Oryctolagus cuniculus: one gene and its partners. The protein of the gene in region 1 interacts with the protein of each later gene in a pairwise test. Links are inferred from orthologs where the notes say so. Each region holds a gene or a part of one and is shown on either strand. Other genes may lie near its edges. The genes, in order: SREBF2, SP1 and NFYC.

Region 1 (4,609 bases):
GGGCAGGTGGCGGCAGGCCAGCAGGATGGCGGTGGCCCGCTCTCGCTGACCGGGCCAGGCGTCCACCTCTCCTGCGGGAGGGAGGGGACGCGTGGGTGAGTGGGGAGCCGCTGTCCCCAGGCCTTTCTGTGGGGCGTTCCCTTCAGCCCCACCCCTCCCACGCGGCTGCGCCCCTCGCCGGCCCGGGGCGGCCGGCAGCGGACTCACCGTGCTTGGTGCTCTGGGTGCTGCGGCGCCGCAGGCTGTGCTCCAGCAGCCGGTGCGTGCGGGTGGGGCTGGCCCCCGCCATCAGGCGCACGGTGGCTTCGTGCAGGAACACCTGGGGAGGGGCAGGAGGACATGCAGTCAGTCCCAGGTGCTCCCGCTCCGCGCCCGTGCGCACTGCCTGCGCCTCTCTGCGGCTGCTCTCCTCGCGCCCCCACCTCGCTCCTCGCTCCTCGCTCCTCGCTCCAGCCAGCTCTGCTGTACCCGAGGCAAACCGGAGCCTGGATGAGTGGCGGAAATGGGGGACAAGGCACCGGCCAGCTGGTGGGGGCAGGAGCAAGACAAGGCCAGAGGCAACAGGCCTGCCTTCCTCGGCTGGCGAGAGTGCCCTGACGTGCACCCGAGGCCGGCTCAGCGGACGGCAGGCCAGGGAGGCCGGCGTGGGGGTGGGGCACAGCTGGGCTGGTACCAGAGGGGGCCTGCACCCCTCCCCTCCTGTGCTCCCGGGAGGAAGAGCGCACACAGGGTCCGCTCTCAGGTCAGGGTGAGGGGTGAGGGGAGCGGGGAGCAAGCTCAGGCCTGCCCAGGTCTCAGGCTCTTCCCAGCTCTCCTGCCGTCCGTGGGCAGGCTCTGTGCCTAGGAGGCAGCTGAGGGGCTGCGCCGTGAGCTGGGGGCTGTGGCCAGCGCGGGTCCCAGCGGCAGGGGTGCTGCCCCGAACCAGGGGTGCACTTCTTCTTTTGCATGGACTGCTTCTTGGATGACGCGTTCTATCTGCCGTTTGGACGGCGGCCCCTGGCCAGTGTGGCCTGTGACCTGGCCAGCGTGGCCTATGAGGTCCCCGCACCTCAGGGCGAGGGCACCTCCATCTCGGCCCCCTCTGCTTTCTGGCAGCCTTCTACAGGTAGCCCGCTCGGCTCCTGGGTCTCCTCACTCAAGTGGCCCGAAAATAACTCGGGTGAAAATCAGAGACAAGGCATGACCCGAGTCCCGCTGGCCCGGTTACAGGACTGTCCTCAGATGCTGTGGCCGCGCCAAGGGGATGTGACCTGGAGATGGTCAGGCAGCAGAACCAAGGCCCCGTGGCCCAGTTAAAAATTTACAGTGCATTTCCCTTCGGCTGTAGCTCCGGGAGACTTACTCTTACTCCCATCAGTATGGCGCTCCCCTGGGGACAGGGCCAAAGAGCCCTCCTACCCAGCATCTGACTGCACTTCAGGGTGGGGTGCCCAGCAGGGGCTGGACCAGTGTGCCCTGACCCAGCGTCAGGCCCGAGCAGGTGCCTGACGGCCACCTGGAGACTGGAGGGCCAACTCCACCACCACCTGCTGGGTCTAGGACCTGGGCCCCACAGACCCCCTCTGCCCTCCACCACCACCTGCTGGGCCTCACCTTGCGGTAGGCTGGGCGGAAGCTGTGTGCTAGCCGGCGCAGGCTGCCCAGGTCCCGCTGGAAGCCAGCCAGCTCGGAGCCTGACGCGTGGTAGGTCTCACCCAGGGCCTGGCTGGCGCCTGCCTGCTTTTGCCAGAGCGCTGTCCGCAGCGACAGGAGCAGGTCACAGGTGAACAGCTGGAACACCTGGGGGTGAGCCACGGGGGAGACAGGTGACCGCCTATCCCTGAGAACAGGGGCCCAGCCCCGCAGGCCCTGCCCCAGCCACACTCAGCCGCCCTGGAGGAAGCAGGGTGCCCGGAGCCTGGGAACTGCCGGCAGCTGGCGCTTGGTCCCAGCTCTGACAGCACAGGCAGGGCAGGAGCAGGAAGGAACCCACGCGGTCTGAAGGCACAGGTTCTCCACCTCCTAGGGTCCCCCGTGGCAGGCCTGGGGGCCGAGCTACCCGAAAGCCCACGGCCGCCTCCTACAAGGGGCAGAGGTAGGGTGTGTGTGAGTGTGCACTTATCTCCTGGGGCAGGGTGTGTGTGTGTGTGCACTCATCTCCTGGGGCAGGGTGTGTGTGTGTGCACTCATCTCCTGGGGCGGTGTGTGTGTGTGTGTGTGCACTCATCTCCTGGGGCAGGGTGTATGTGTGTGTGTGTGTGTGTGCAGTCATCTCCTGGGGCAGGGTGTGTGTGTGTGTGTGCACTCATCTCCTGGGGCAGGGTGTGTGTGTGTGTGTGCACTCATCTCCTGGGGCAGGGTGTGTGTGTGTGCACTCATCTCCTGGGGCGGTGTGTGTGTGTGTGTGTGTGCACTCATCTCCTGGGGCAGGGTGTATGTGTGTGAGTGTGCACTCATCTCCTGGGGCAGGGTGTGTGTGTGTGCACTCATCTCCTGGGGCAGGGTGTGTGTGTGTGTGTGTGCACTCATCTCCTGGGGCAGGGTGTGTGTGTGTGTGTGCACTCATCTCCTGGGGCAGGGTGTGTGTGTGTGTGTGCACTCATCTCCTGGAAGGCAGGACCGTGTGCGCTTCAGCACTTGGCTGTTGGGCCAGCTGACCTGGCTGCCATCCTCGTCTTGCTGCCACGGCGTGCAGCCACGTAACCTGGCATCAGCTTCTCCTCCCTGAGTCTCAGGGTCCTCATCCACAGGGGACTGGCTTGTGTGAGGGCACGAAGCCTCACGGGTATGGGCTACATACACCACACGCCAGTCCAGGCTGCCCACCTGCTGCCACGCCCACAGCACAGGCCGAGTGGTGGGGGCAGGAGCTCCCCTCTGATGGGACCTAAGAGGTCCCCAGGCCGTCCCTCACCTCCTCAGTCCTGGCTGTCCTCGTCCCAGACCCCCACCCACCCTGTGCTTGCTCGGAGCCCTGCTCCTGGGCCACACTGTCCTCGGGCCGCCCTGGGACAGCCTTGGGCTCCGTGGGCCTCCTCTTCCAGGCTCGTTCCCCAGCTGAGCGGCTGCCCGCAGCTCTGGGCCCCCAGGGGCCGAAGTGTCCCGCTGCTCCCTGACCACAGCCGACCCTGTTCTCTGGAAGACTAGGAGAGCCCAGCAGAGACGCCGGGAGGTGGCGCCCCTCCCCCGATCCTGGGCCCGGTCCGTCAGCTGCCAGGCCTTGCGCGGCTGGCACACTCCTGGGCTCTCCCTCGGCGTCCAGCGTGAAGTGCCGGCTATCACCGAGGCTGGCCCTCTGGGCCGGTCCTGGGCCCCTCCTGTCGCGGGGGCTGAACCAGGCGCTCAGCGGATCGCTCGATGCTCCACCCCAGCAACACATTCCACTCCCTCCCCTCTGGTCTCTGGCTGGGCCTTGGGACCCAGCAGTGGCAACAGTGCCCTCTAGCCAGGATCCCCACCCCAAGGGGGGGTCCTTGGTCAAGGCCTGGGCGGGGGCGGGGGCAGGGGCGAGTGTCCGAGGGCCGGGCAGGCCTCTGGGATGCACTGTGGAAACATTGCACGGTACTTCCAGAACATGCAATGCAACTACAATGCACCGCAGCTGCCCGCCAGGAGGGGGCGCTGCCACGCAGGTGGGCCCCCTCGAAGGCTGGCCTGCAGAACAGGGAGGTCCTGCAAGCTGCCTGCAGCAAAGATGGCGCCCTGGCCAGCTGGGTCTGGGACTGAGGGAGCCCAGCACGGGTGCCAGTGGAAACGCGAGCTTCCACCTGGGCCAGCCGCCCGTGCTGTGCGAAAGGGGCCTGGAGCATGGCCTGTCTCATGCGATCGCCCAGGCGGGTGGCGGTGTCCTTCCAGACCAGTGCCAGGACTCCCAGAGGGGTCGGCTGCGCCCACTCACGTGGTTGAGGCCGGGGTCAGAGGTGGCCCCGCTGACGCTGAGGCTGCTCCACAGGTGGCTGCTGGCTCTCTCGCAATGGCAGAAGGAATTCTGCTGCCCGTCCGCCTTCCCGGAGAGCGAGGCGTGCATGGCTCTGCAGACGTGGAAGACGGCTTTCACCAGGGGGCTCCTGCAGCAGACAGGGACAGGCAGGTCAGCGCGCGTCCCCCGGGTGCCCGGCATGCCCCACACGGTGGGTGTGGGGGTCTGCCGCCTGCAAGGCCCGCCCCACCTACCGCACCTCCTCCACCCGGGGCTGGAAGGGGCCAGAGTGCCATGGAAAAGCCACCTAGGCTGGTCATTCAAACAACCTGGGCCACACGTGCTTTGTAACCAAGTGGCCACACGCCGCTCGCTAGTTCCTGTGGCAAAATAAAGCGTGGTTCCCACTTTTGGTACCTGCTCTCTAAGGGAGCATCCCAGACAGGTGTGGTTGTCACAGACCACCTGGGGAGAGGCTGGTGAAGGGTGCCTATGGCATCATTGCCCTGAAGAGCAGAAGAAGCCACAATGCCTGACCCCAGGGGCCAGGCCTGCGGCTTGGCAGGGAGACACCCACAGGTGGAGTGCTAACCCACAGCTGGTGCAGTGGTGCACACTTTGGGGCCAGTGCTGTGGCGTCGCGGGTAAAGCCACCGCCTGTGAAGACGGCAACCCATATGCTCCACTTCCCAGCCAGCTGTCTACCACTGT
Region 2 (6,331 bases), about 61 Mb from region 1:
GAAGTATCTAAGCCTGTTTCGGTCATCTGTCCCAGGAGGTGCCAGTCTCTTCAATCTGTAGGAGTTAAGTTAGATAACAGATGTGAAATGTTTGCAGTACAGCTCCACAGAGTCAGCTCCTCTCCCCGCCACCCCCAGCAGGGTTAGGTGTGGTCCACTGCTGCATACACTGAACAGCCGTGAGTAATACCGTTTCTTCCTTTCCAGGAAGTTTCTTACCAACGTGTTTCTTAAGCTCATCTAGGAACCCATCACTTGAAAACACTCGTTCTCAAGCCCCACCCCAGAGATTCAGATTTCTTAGGTCTGGGGAGGGGGGTCTAGGAATCTCCCCGATATTGTCTGAGGAACTGCTGACACAGGGAGAGGTAGCTGATGGTAATCTGATAACACTTTATAAACAAGGCAAGGCGATGGCGCCCTTTTGAGCTGACCTGGGAGGAGAGGCGGGACTTGTCAGGGGCCAGAAGGTAAAATCAGAAAGGTATTTTACAACAAAGCCAATCTTATTAAGCCTATTTACATAAGGCATTGTTGTATTCACTTAAGGACTTCCCAGCAAACTCTCTGGGACAAACTTCTGGGGACCTACGACCCAGAAGCTGTGCGATTTCTGCCTTCTGCCGATACACTTTTAAGGCACCTAACACAGGGGCCCAGACCCTGGCCAGGGCGGCAACAGCCTTGTCTCTACCTGCAAGTCTTACTAGGAGGATCCAGATAGTAACACCCGAGAACTTGTAATGAGGTGCTGTATAATAATGAAGTGACTCCACGTTAACGACCCAAGTGCTACAGGGAATGACCTCATCGTGTCATTGACAAGCCATCAAGGCCCGGGGAAAAAAGACAAGATGGAGGCCCGCAATTCAGGTGCGCCGGGTGAAAGCTATTACTTTTGTACAAAAAGCCGGAGCTCGGCTACCTTGCTTTATGCTTCGTTTGCATTTACAACTAAGGGGTGGGGTTTGGAAGTGGCTTCTAAGACCCCGACCGTGCGAGGTTCCCCCATGCACTTCAGCTTCCAAGACGAATTCTCGAAAAGTTAACCCGCTGAGCAGCTCAGTGTTGAACGCCTTTGTCTTAATAAAATGGCGTTTGCTGGAGTCTTATAAAGACCTTGCAAATCGGTCAGCTCAGTCACAGCCGATTTCGTGAGCGCTGTCGCCAGGTCTCGTCCCTCCGGAACTCCCAAGGGTTTCCACCCACATCTGGAGGCAGCCGCCCGCTGGCCACCCACCCGCGGAGGGGAGCGGCGTGAGAGGCACTTTTCCCTCCTCCTTATTCCACCCCCATATATGAAAACCAAAACGAGCCCCCGCGGGCGAGGCACAACTACGCGCCGAGTGTCCTGGTTCTGCCACTTGTTGAGCTGCAGGGCTCTGCTGACGCGTACCACCTAATCACCGTAAAGACGTCCCCAGAGGAGGGCCAACATGGCGACGGACTTCTCTTGGCACAGCCCAGTTCCCTCCCTCATGATGGGAGGCCCAAATAACACCCATTGCCCAATTTGGAGGCGGTGCCAGACTCACCTCGCTCCCTCATTGGCCTGAGTAACTGAGGGAGAAGCCAATTCACCTCTGCCCACTCTAAGTTCCCGCCTACAGAGCCCACTCGGAATTTAATTGGTTTTTAGTTCACGTCAATATGCGTCCTCTTCCGTCTCTTTTCAGCATTTACCCAATCATAACTTTCCTGGCTGCCCGCCTGATTTCTGATTGGCTATGATCAGCTTCAGCCCAGCCCATTCCGGGCTATTTCTTACCTCTCCTCCCACCAGGACTTTGCCCAGGCACGTCCCGGATTGTGGTTGGTCATTGATGTGTCATTTCTATCGAAGCTCTTCCTATCGCTACCTCTCAGGGATCCCGCCTGCTGGCTGACTGGCTTATTTCCAAGCCTATCATCTCTAGCGCCCGCCTACCTTCACTTCCTGCATTCTTCATTGGCCTTGAAAATTGAGGGGGCGGCCTTTTTGGGCGGATACCAGGCATTCAACTTTGTCTTACACGCCTCAGGGAGCGAGTGAGTATTGTCATTGGATAGCCTGCCCGCCTTTCTTCTCCAAGTCCCTCCTTTCCCCCTCCCTCATTGGGCGGGGCAGCACTGAAGGGGCGGGGCCCAGGCTGGGCTTGCGGCGCGCTGCTCCCTCCTCCTTACCCCCCCCCTCCCTGTCCGGTCCGGGTTCGCTTGCCTCGTCAGCGTCCGCGTTTTTCCCGGCCCCCCCCAACCCCCCCGGACAGGACCCCCTTGAGCTCGTCCCTCAGCTGCCACCATGAGCGGTAAGGATGAGTCCACTCCACGCTGAGGGGTGGGAGAGGAGTGAGGGGGCGCGCGCGAGGGCAGACCGGGCGGTCCCCGCCGTGAGGGGGGGCGGGCGGGAGGCGGCGGCGGCGGCCTTGGTCCCGCCCGGGGCGGAGGGAAGGGAGGGAGAAGGGGCAGTGGCGGGGCCTCCGAGAAGGAGGGGGATGGGCCGCCCGCCCCGGGGGAGGGGGCAGCGTGGCCTCGCCCGCCCCCTGCCCGCCCCGGCCACGGGGGGGACGGCCTTACCCCCCACAACTCGGCCTCCCGCCTCAGGCTCCTCCCGTCGGGGGGCTGGAGCCGCGGGGGCGGCCCGAGCAGGGCAGGCCCCGCCCGGGCCAACCGCCTCCCTGGTCCGCCCTCCGGTCGCCGCCTGCCCCTAGGCCCTCCTCCCCCCACTTTCCGTAGACCTCCCCTCCCCCCCAGCGTCCCGCCCTTTCCACGCCCCTCACCCCGAAACCGCCCTTTCCCTCCAGGGCCCGCCCTTTCCCCGCCCCGAAACCTTCTGATTGCTCACTCCTGCACCCCTTTATCCCCTTACCTGTGGTCCCCAATGGTTCCCCACTCCCGCTTACCGTTTCTCCTTCCCCCCTTTTCCCCTGTCTCCTCTCGGTGCATTTTGTACTTGGATTTTTTGCCTCCATCGCTCTTGTCCCTAATTTTAGCAAGCTTTCCATCCACCCACATGTTGTTTGGCCTTACCTGTCCTGCTCCTTTCTACCCCCAGGACACGTTTTCTTATTTTGAAACCCTTTGTACGGGCCTGCGTGGCCTATTCCCAGAGCACCTTTTTCTGAGTTTAATTTTTGTGCAAGGAAAACCTGAGGCCAAACTTCGTGGCCGTGAGCCTGGCTCATGACACATGTGCCTTGCAGTTCCCCCCTGCCCCAATGCATTTTCTTTGTACTTCCTGTTAGTCACTGCTGTTTCATCATAGCCTTCTGTAAACTCTCCTGCACTCTATCCACCCCCTCCTCCCCTTCCCCCACGCTAAGTTGTTTTTTCTTTTTCATTCTTTTTTTAGACCAAGATCACTCCATGGATGAAATGACAGCAGTGGTGAAGATTGAAAAGGGAGTTGGTGGCAATAATGGGGGCAATGGCAACGGTGGCGGTGCCTTTTCTCAGGCTCGGAGCAGCAGCACGGGCAGCAGCAGCAGCAGTGGAGGAGGTGGAGGCGGGCAGGTGAGTGACAGCCGGAACTGGGGGCGGGGAGGTGTTGAGAGGATGGTTGTAAATACTCGTAGAAAACTGGCTTACTCTTCCCAGAAGAGTTTTAGGAGAGGATTACATTTTATAGATGGGGAAGCCAGCGCAGAGACTCAAGGAACTTAGATTCGCTAAAGATGGTAGTTTGCAGCAGTACCGATAGGACCTCCTTTCTGTTTTTGGGTTGGTTTTTTCCCCCCCTTTTTAATCTTCATTGTGTTGCTGTTTATTTGTTGTATACTGCCCCCTAGGCTGGTGGCTGGGTGTCACTAACTCCTCTCATCTCCCCCTTTCTGGCCAGGAATCCCAGCCATCCCCTTTGGCTCTGCTGGCAGCAACTTGCAGCAGAATTGAGTCTCCCAATGAGAACAGCAACAACTCCCAGGGCCCCAGCCAGTCAGGGGGCACAGGTGAGCTTGACCTCACCGCCGCACAACTTTCACAGGGTGCCAATGGCTGGCAGATCATCTCCTCCTCCTCTGGGGCTACCCCTACCTCAAAGGAACAGAGTGGCAGCAATACCAATGGCAGCAATGGCAGCGAGTCTTCCAAGAACCGCACCGTCTCTGGTGGGCAATATGTAGTGGCTGCCACCCCCAACTTACAGAACCAGCAAGTTCTGACAGGATTACCTGGAGTGATGCCCAACATTCAGTACCAAGTAATCCCCCAATTCCAGACCGTCGATGGGCAGCAGCTGCAGTTCGCCACCACGGGGGCCCAAGTGCAGCAGGATGGTTCTGGTCAGATACAGATCATACCAGGTGCAAACCAACAGATCATCACAAACCGAGGAAGTGGAGGCAACATCATCGCTGCTATGCCAAACCTGCTTCAACAGGCTGTCCCCCTCCAAGGTCTGGCCAATAATGTGCTCTCAGGACAGACTCAGTATGTGACCAACGTCCCGGTGGCCCTGAACGGGAACATCACCTTGCTACCTGTCAATAGCGTTTCTGCAGCTACCCTGACTCCCAGCTCTCAGGCAGTCACCATCAGCAGCTCGGGGTCCCAGGAGAGTGGCTCACAGCCCGTCACCTCAGGGACGACCACCATCAGTTCCGCCAGTTTGGTGTCATCACAAGCCAGCTCCAGCTCCTTTTTCACCAATGCTAACAGCTACTCCACGACGACTACCACCAGCAACATGGGAATCATGAATTTCACCACCAGCGGATCGTCAGGGACCAACTCTCAAGGTCAGACACCCCAGAGGGTCGGGGGGCTGCAGGGGTCTGATGCGCTGAACATCCAGCAGAACCAGACGTCTGGAGGCTCCCTGCAGGCAAGTCAGCAGAAGGAGGGAGAGCCAAACCAGCAGACACAGCAACAGCCGATTCTGATCCAGCCTCAGCTAGTTCAGGGGGGACAGGCCCTCCAGGCCCTCCAAGCGGCGCCGTTGTCAGGACAGACCTTTACAACCCAGGCCATCTCCCAGGAAACCCTCCAGAACCTCCAGCTGCAGGCTGTTCCAAACTCTGGTCCCATCATCATCCGGACACCAACCGTTGGGCCCAATGGACAGGTCAGTTGGCAGACTCTTCAGCTGCAGAACCTCCAAGTTCAGAACCCACAGGCCCAGACAATCACCTTGGCCCCGATGCAGGGTGTTTCCTTGGGGCAGACCAGCAGCAGCAGCACCACCCTTACACCCATTGCCTCAGCTGCCTCCATCCCTGCCGGCACAGTCACTGTGAATGCTGCTCAACTCTCCTCTATGCCAGGCCTTCAGACCATTAACCTCAGTGCGTTGGGTACGTCAGGAATCCAGGTGCACCAGCTCCCAGGCCTGCCGTTGGCCATAGCAAATGCCCCAGGTGAGTCTTCGAGTCTTTTGGAAGTCTGCATTTATAATGAACTGACTAGCATAGCAGCTGAAACTATGGAGTGGGAAGAAGGGAACAGCACCTTTTGGGCTAACACTTGCCCCAGGGCTGGTCAGTTAGAGAAATAGCAGTGCTTCTTTTGAAATCATGTGGAACTAAATTAACAGAAACTTTTCAGTTAATCTGATGTGAAAGGAGCAATTCTGGGCAATGTCCTGAGGTTTATGTGCTTCCCAGTCTCTGGTGTTGCAGGAAAAAGGTTGAAGAAGTGTCTTTTTGTTTGTGTGTTTGTTTGTTTTTGGATACAAGGTCAGAGAGTAAATATTTTGGGCCTTGTGGCCAGCATATGATCTCAGTCACGTACTCTTTGTTTGCGTGTTTTTTTTTTTTAAGTGTTCATTTTAATTGAAAGGCAGAGAGACACACAGAAAAACAAAGAGATCTTCTATCTGCAGCTTCACTCCCTAAAAGCTTGCAAAACCTGGGGCTGGTCAGGCTGAAACCAGGAGTTGGGGCCTCTATTCGAGTCTCCCACATGGGTGGCAGTGGCCCAAGTACTTGAACCATCATCTTGCTGCCGTAACAGGAAGCTGGATTGGAACAGTGTGGAGCAGCCAGGACTTGAACCTGCACTTTGACATGGGATGGGAGCCGTGGCTTAACCAGCTGTGCCACAGTGTCCATCCGTTTGTGTGTATGTGGTTTTTAAACACTCCTTTGAAAATGTAAAACCGTTCTTAATTCTATGGACTAACTCCTGCATAGGATACAAATTGATTATGAGCTTCATCTGTCAGGTTTTTCTCAAGAACTGTAACTCCTAATCGAGGGGAAAGTGATCTAACGAGTTCCAGAAAGTTTTTCAACAAAATAAGTTCCCCTGGTTAATCTGTCGATGACTGCAAGCTTGTCAGTCAAGCTTTCATCTTTTTCTTAAACTCATTTATTTTAAAAACAGGATTTCTCCGCCTCACACTAATACGTATTTTATG
Region 3 (6,434 bases), on another chromosome or scaffold:
CTTAATTTGGAAAAGCCAATGCCAATATTGCCAAATCTCACCCTGTCTGATATGACTCAATGCACAGAAAAGAGCTGACGTCAATACTGACTGACCATGCCTGAGAGGAAGTGACTTAATAGGACAGGAAATTAAATAGATCACAAAATATCAACCCCACCCCTGGAAAAAAAAAAAAGGGAAGCCCTAAAAATAGATGACACTAGCCATGGAAAATCGGTAAAGAAATCCCTACGGGCTTCTACCATTTATGTTAGAGGTATCTTACAGTAGGTATCAATGAGATGAAATGTAAACTAGCATTTAGATTTTATTGAGGCCAATTTATGTAAAAAAGAAAGTCTTCATCTCAACATTTACTTGCTTGCTAGGACATTGCAAGCTGAAGACTGACAGAAAGGAGATCACATGACCTCAAAGCAAATAAAAGAGGGCTACAGTTTACTTTATAAATATTTGGTGCACAAACTGAAAATGTAACTCTGCTTAGCAAACATCTGCAATGATTACAACTTATTGCCTTATAATGCAAATTTCAACATCTAATCAGAACAGACTCCCAGCTTTCACTCCAAGATCCCTCAGTCTAATCTAATCAGCATCCCCCTTTCATCTTATTCTAAGAGGTCCTTAATTTTTGACAAAAGAGTTAAAATTCTTTCATAGGAATCTTAATGGATGAAGGTTTAATGAACTTAACATATGCATCAAATGGGTCATGCTTGCATAAACAGGAATATGCAGGTGAATGCATGCAGAACTAGTTTAAAAAGAGATGTCAGTTTTTTAAAAATCTGTAAATATGTTAAATACTGGCATTTTTTCCCTCTGATGCTACACCTATCTTCATACACATTTAATCCCCCAATAGTTTGGATTCAGTCTGATATTAGTAACTTAATATTTATGCAGTACTTCACAATTTCCAAAGCACAAATACACATGATCTCATTCAAGACTCAGCACTAAGTAAGAGGGCACTGTCTGGGGTCCCATTTTTATACATGAGGAAGCTGACACTAAATGGCTGACTTGTCCAAGCTCACAAAGCTGGCAATCGACCTGGATGGAACTTGAACACCATTTCCTGACTTTAAAAGGCTTGTGCTGTGCTGCCTCAAAATATTTTAATCAAAGTAAATAAATATCCAAATCTTAGACCCCATCTAAGGCCCCGTACCCACCCATACAGTCACCTCAGTTAAGTTACAGTTAGCTCTAGAAGAGCTCTGATCTTTCTGGAAGTAAAGTTTTTATTTCTCTGGAAAACACTTATCTGGCTAAAGTGTTTGATATAAATGCTGTTCAACATACACTAGAAACATCTTAGCTACCAGAAGATCTGCATAGGCATGCTTACGTTCATTTTTCTCCAGATGGTGGGTCAGATTCTCAGAGAGTCCCTGACCCTGAAAAGGTAAAAAATCTAGGCTAGACAGCTTTCCAAGAAACTAAATTCATAAAGTTCTCAAGTCAACAGTTTTACCTAGGCCTCATACGGTACCCCAACTTTAACTTTTTCTTCCTATGCTCCAGGCCTTCTAATCCAGATCCAGTAGGGTCACTCAACATCTACAACAGTTTTTTAAATCATATAAGAAAAACCTGAAACCAACAGATAACATATAAATCAAGGACTTCTAAAAAGTAAGCTTCAATTAAAATAATCATTCCTTAAAATGTAATTTTTAACGCAGTCCTTTCTCTTAGGACTTACATTCCCAAAATGAACATTTTCTTACCATAAGCACGCCAATCTCCCAAAAGAAGTTTGGTAAATGCAACATTGAACTCCTGAAATACCACTTTTCACCAAGCACCCCCTAGATCACAAAGATGACAAGTGGCATGATACTATGATACTCAACTATCACACCAAAAAGATTGAGAGTTTTTTTTTATTCTGTTGTTCTTGCGGGGGTGGGGACAGAAAAGAGTGGAAGAGGGAATGAATGCAGCCTTATTGTCTTACTGCTTGAAAACTAATATGAATCTGTAATATATTCCTACTAAACACTCAAGTTGAACATCAGAAGCAGTCTCGTTTCATCTTAAATAGAGCTTTTCGGTCCAAATCTGTACAAACTTTGTCCTTCAATCTTTTAACTGCTCGGCAGTTTTTCAAGGTCACTTTTTCGAGCAACGACAGAGGCCTGCATCCAGGAACTTTGACTTCTACACCATTCCAACAACCAGAGCCCAAATCTAACCCCCTACTGATACTCTAAGTAAACCCTTTACTAGAGGGGAGGCCAGGGAAGGCAAATCACACCCTCCAAACTTCTCTAACAGGGCCTGCTCATTTTCCCTGCCCAGAGAACGAGGGCTGCTGGCTCACTGCTTCACCCTGAGTCTGCTGCAGAAATGTTCCAATGACCTTCATTCCGTATTTGCAAATAAAAAGAAAACAAAGAGCTGCCTTTTAAAATCAGGTATATTACAGACCTCAACACAAGGGACTGAAGATGTCACTATTCAAAAGAACTGGTTAGTTACTGATTATCAACCTACTTTAGCTTCATATCACTAAAGGGGTGTATCAAGGGCAAGACAGAATGCTTGCACTCTTAACTTCCCTATTCACAAACTGCAGGTAAATTACCATTTTAAATACTCCACACAGAAAATGAAAAGCATTTAGCTAACATTATTTTAAAGAACCAAATCAACACCTGACAAAGTATGTGAAATTGATGGAAAAAGACTTGCTCTTGTCACTGCAAAGATACCTGGAGTAGGATGTTTCTAACCAGCATTCCAAGCTAAAATGTGCATTTTACAACAAAGATTGTTAATAAATCAATTAATGGTAATTAGACTCCAGAAGAAGACAGGTAAATCAAGAAAGTTATGGGAGAATCTCACATTAACATGTGGGCCTTCGCCAGGAGAACCTGCATCAGTGCAAATTATATTTTCACACAAATTTCGAAAGCAATAGTGTTCTTCCACCTCTGATAACACAGATGTCAACAAAGCACATGGAAACAGAAAAACTCTGACAACAACTCAGCTTATTCTGTAGGAAAGCTTCAGTGCACTTGAACAAAGGAAAATTATTTGGAAAACAGTTAAGTTTACCCAAGGCAAAGATAAAGTGCTTTGCTTCTGTGTGCCCCTGAAAAATGATTAGCCTTTCTTCATGTACGTGATCTTGTCAAAACTCAACTAGGAAAAGAAACCCCAGTTGAAGGACATGCAACATCTAAACAGAGCAAGGTATTCTAGGTGCACCAAAAGGTATGCATGGAATGTAAAGTGGCCATTTTCTGAAACAGTGCAACTTGTCTACACTCTCTGAAGCTAAACAGTTTCTATCATTTCAACACAAAACAAAGAATTAAACTTACCGGGAACTGCATTAATTTTACATGTAGTTATTTATATCTCCTCGGACTAGGAGAATTTAAGTCACTCCTATCCCTCCCCCCCCAAAAGGACGGAGGAAACAAAAGGCAGCAGGAGATGCAGAAACCTGAGTCTGGAATGTCCACTCCAGTGAAAGCCCGAACAGCTGTCCCTCCACCCCCCAGCAAACTATTCGCCATTTTTCTTTGTCTTTCAGCTGACCCCTGCCTCAGTGAAAAACTCCGAGGCTCCAATGAAGCCCTGCAGCCTCCTTCCACTTTAACAGTCAAAGGCATTCAATCTAGCATGCTATTTGACACCAAACCTTGCCTCCAGAGTAGTCCCATTGGCTGAGCTGCTTTATCGGCTAAGAACACAAAGACATGATTGGCTGTTCACGTCATCAGTTACCTCCTTTGTACACTTCCTGTTTTAAAGTTACCTTGAGAAGCAGAACAGGGGTCAGATTCAGACTTCAAACTACAGGGAACTTAAATGCTGGAAATGCTCAGCAAATGCACACAGCAGATGCACTACAGTCTCATGTGCTTCCAAAACAGGAGACTGCAAATTTAGAATTGTTCTGAAAATCAGGCGAAAGGGTTGTTACAGTTCCCACCCAAGGGATTTCTTATTGGCTGTCAGAGTTCCATTTAAAAAATTTAAGGTAATTTAACTGCTTCTGATTGGTCATCAAAGATGTCTGTAAGATACTGCTACAGTATCCTATGGCAGTAAACCAGAGAAGCAATGTGCACAAGGTCGGAAAGTTATAATCACCTTCAGTTTTCCGTGGAGCATTAAACAGAAAGGAAAAAAAAAAAGAAAAAAAGAAAACTGCCCCCCGCCCCCAATACCTCAGTAGCTCTAACAATAACAAGCAGTGAGGCCAGTGGCCATAGAATAATTTGCAGGATTTCTAACAGGTATCTATCATATGTTTATAGTAATTTTAAAAGCACGGATTAGTACCAGGGCAAAGCAATTTATCTTAAAACACAAACTGTAGGAAAATCTGGGGATAATATATGACAGTGGCAGGGGCAGCGGCACTCCCAAAAAGCCAACCAGGAACCAAGAAGGAAATACAATGAAAAAGGTGGAAAAAACTGGCAAAGAATACAGAGTGTCAGTGACTGTATTGTTAAAAGTTGATTATAGTTTGATGGATTAATTTATTTAGGGGGTCACAAAATGTTGCTGGTTAATTTTCCTTCTTTCTCTCTCCCTCTCTTTCTCTTGTTTATTTAATTTGAAAGGCAGAGAGACAGAGATCTCTTATTCTCTGGTTTACTCCCAAAGACTACAACAGCCAAGGCTTGGCCAATCTAAAGCCACAGGGGCCAGGAACTCAACCCAGAGCACCTACAAGGGTGGCAGGGACCTAACTACTTGGGTCACCAGCTGCTTCCTCGCAGGATGCTAATTAGTAGAGAGCTGGAATGGGAAGCAGAGCTAGGACTGACCCATTCTAAAACGTCTCCAGCAGCCGCTTAACAGATGCACCAACCGCCTGCCCCATTTAGTTTTTAGGGTTACTTCTACTGCTGTGGTGTAGTGAGCTGAGCATGCGCTTGAGGCACCAGCATCCCATATGGGCACTGGTTAGGGCCCCGGCTTCTCCTCTTCTGATCAGCTCTCTGCTTATGGCCAGAGAAAGCAGTAGAAGAAGGCCTAAGTGCTTGGGCCTGCACTCTCATGGGAGACCCAGAAGAAACTCCAGGCTCCTGGCTTCAGATCGGCTGTTGCGGCCATTTGGGGAGTGAACCAGTAGATGAGAGATCTCTCTGTCTCTCCCTCTATCTGTAACTCTACCTCTCAAGTAAATAAATAAAATCTTTAAAAAAAAAAAAAAGGTTACTTCTACATTTTCAAGAATAAGCAGCAGGACTGTCTCAGGACAAATATTATGAGTATCCTTATTTGACTCAATGTGGTTACTAAAGACATCAGGGGGTACTGAAGTTCAACAGTGGTGGTCACATTTGCTCATGGATTTTGGGACCAACTGCTTAGGTTTTAAGAGGAGGCTCCTAATATGGTAAAATCAATGAACATGTCTTTTTTTTTTTTTTAAGTGAGACATTCAGATGGAAACATCACACCATTATCTAAGTTATTTAATAATTTCCTTAGATCTGCTTTCTCCCTTCAAAGCTAAATATCCTAGACTCCACAGAGCTGTTTCACTAGATCAGTAAGTAAGATCTTTTCTAGACAAGTGAGGTTCAGAGAAGTTAAATAACCGGTCCCTAGCCATACATCTAGATGCAAACCCAGGTCCTTCCTAGAATGGTATTCTTTCCTTCGCACCACACTGCTAAAACCAAGAGATGGAGCACTTAAAGGCATATCCAAGGAAAGTTTAGGTGCCACATATATGTGCAGAAAGCACAAATCATTAGTCATCCTCACTAGTTCAACAATTAGAAATCTGGCTAATATTAAATTTGACCTGACAGGCCGGTGCCGTGGCTCACTAGGCTAATCCTCCGCCTTGCGGCGCCGGCACATCGGGTTCTAGTTCCGGTCGGGGCGCCAGATTCTGTCCCAATTGCCCCTCTTCCAGGCCAGCTCTCTGCTGTGGCCCGGGAGTGCAGTGGAGGATGGCCCAAGTCCTTGGGCCCTGCATCCCATGGGAGACCAGGATAAATATCTGGCTCCTGCCATCGGATCAGCGCGGTGCGCCAGACGCAGTGTGCTGGCCGCGGCAGCCATTGGAGGTTGAACCAACGTCAAAGGAAGACCTTTCTCTCTGTCTCTCTCTCTCACTGTCCACTCTGCCTGTAAAAAAAAAAAAAAAATTGACCTGACGGCTACAGACCTAGCCAAATATCTGACAAAACAGTGCCCTGTAAGTCAAAAGAAATTTTATTACTAAGACTTGAAACAACTAACAACTAAACCATTAACATTAAACATTAAAATACTAAGGGACTGGGGCCGGTTCTGTGGCATAGCGGGTAAGGCCGCCCCCTGCAGTGGCCGGCATCCCATATGGGCACTGGTTTGAGTCCCGGCTTCTGATCCAGCTCTTTGCTCTGGCCTGGGGAAGTAGTACAAGATGGCCCAAGTCCTTGGGTCCC

Evidence for each region.
Region 2: the proteins of SREBF2 (region 1) and SP1 interact in binary tests that used the Homo sapiens proteins (3 or more experiments, as listed by UniProt). The link is inferred for Oryctolagus cuniculus from reciprocal best matches to the Homo sapiens genes SREBF2 and SP1.
Region 3: the proteins of SREBF2 (region 1) and NFYC interact in binary tests that used the Homo sapiens proteins (3 or more experiments, as listed by UniProt). The link is inferred for Oryctolagus cuniculus from reciprocal best matches to the Homo sapiens genes SREBF2 and NFYC.

Annotation. Positions count from the first base shown.
Region 1 is NC_091442.1:117,823,636-117,828,244, reverse strand, and holds part of SREBF2 (sterol regulatory element-binding protein 2), read right to left. Parts: intron 4,047-4,609; coding exon 3,878-4,046; intron 3,576-3,877; exon of another isoform or gene 3,516-3,575; intron 1,780-3,515; coding exon 1,594-1,779; intron 320-1,593; coding exon 208-319; intron 72-207; coding exon 1-71.
Region 2 is NC_091442.1:56,372,222-56,378,552, forward strand, and holds the start of SP1 (transcription factor Sp1), read left to right. Parts: upstream 1-2,744; 5' UTR 2,745-3,159; coding exon 3,160-3,489; intron 3,490-3,814; coding exon 3,815-5,330; intron 5,331-6,331. UniProt on the Homo sapiens protein: Transcription factor that can activate or repress transcription in response to physiological and pathological stimuli.
Region 3 is NC_091438.1:132,230,613-132,237,046, forward strand, and holds the start of NFYC (nuclear transcription factor Y subunit gamma), read right to left. Parts: upstream 3,638-6,434; 5' UTR 3,549-3,637; coding exon 3,476-3,548; exon of another isoform or gene 3,363-3,475; coding exon of another isoform or gene 3,351-3,362; intron 1-3,350. UniProt on the Homo sapiens protein: Component of the sequence-specific heterotrimeric transcription factor (NF-Y) which specifically recognizes a 5'-CCAAT-3' box motif found in the promoters of its target genes.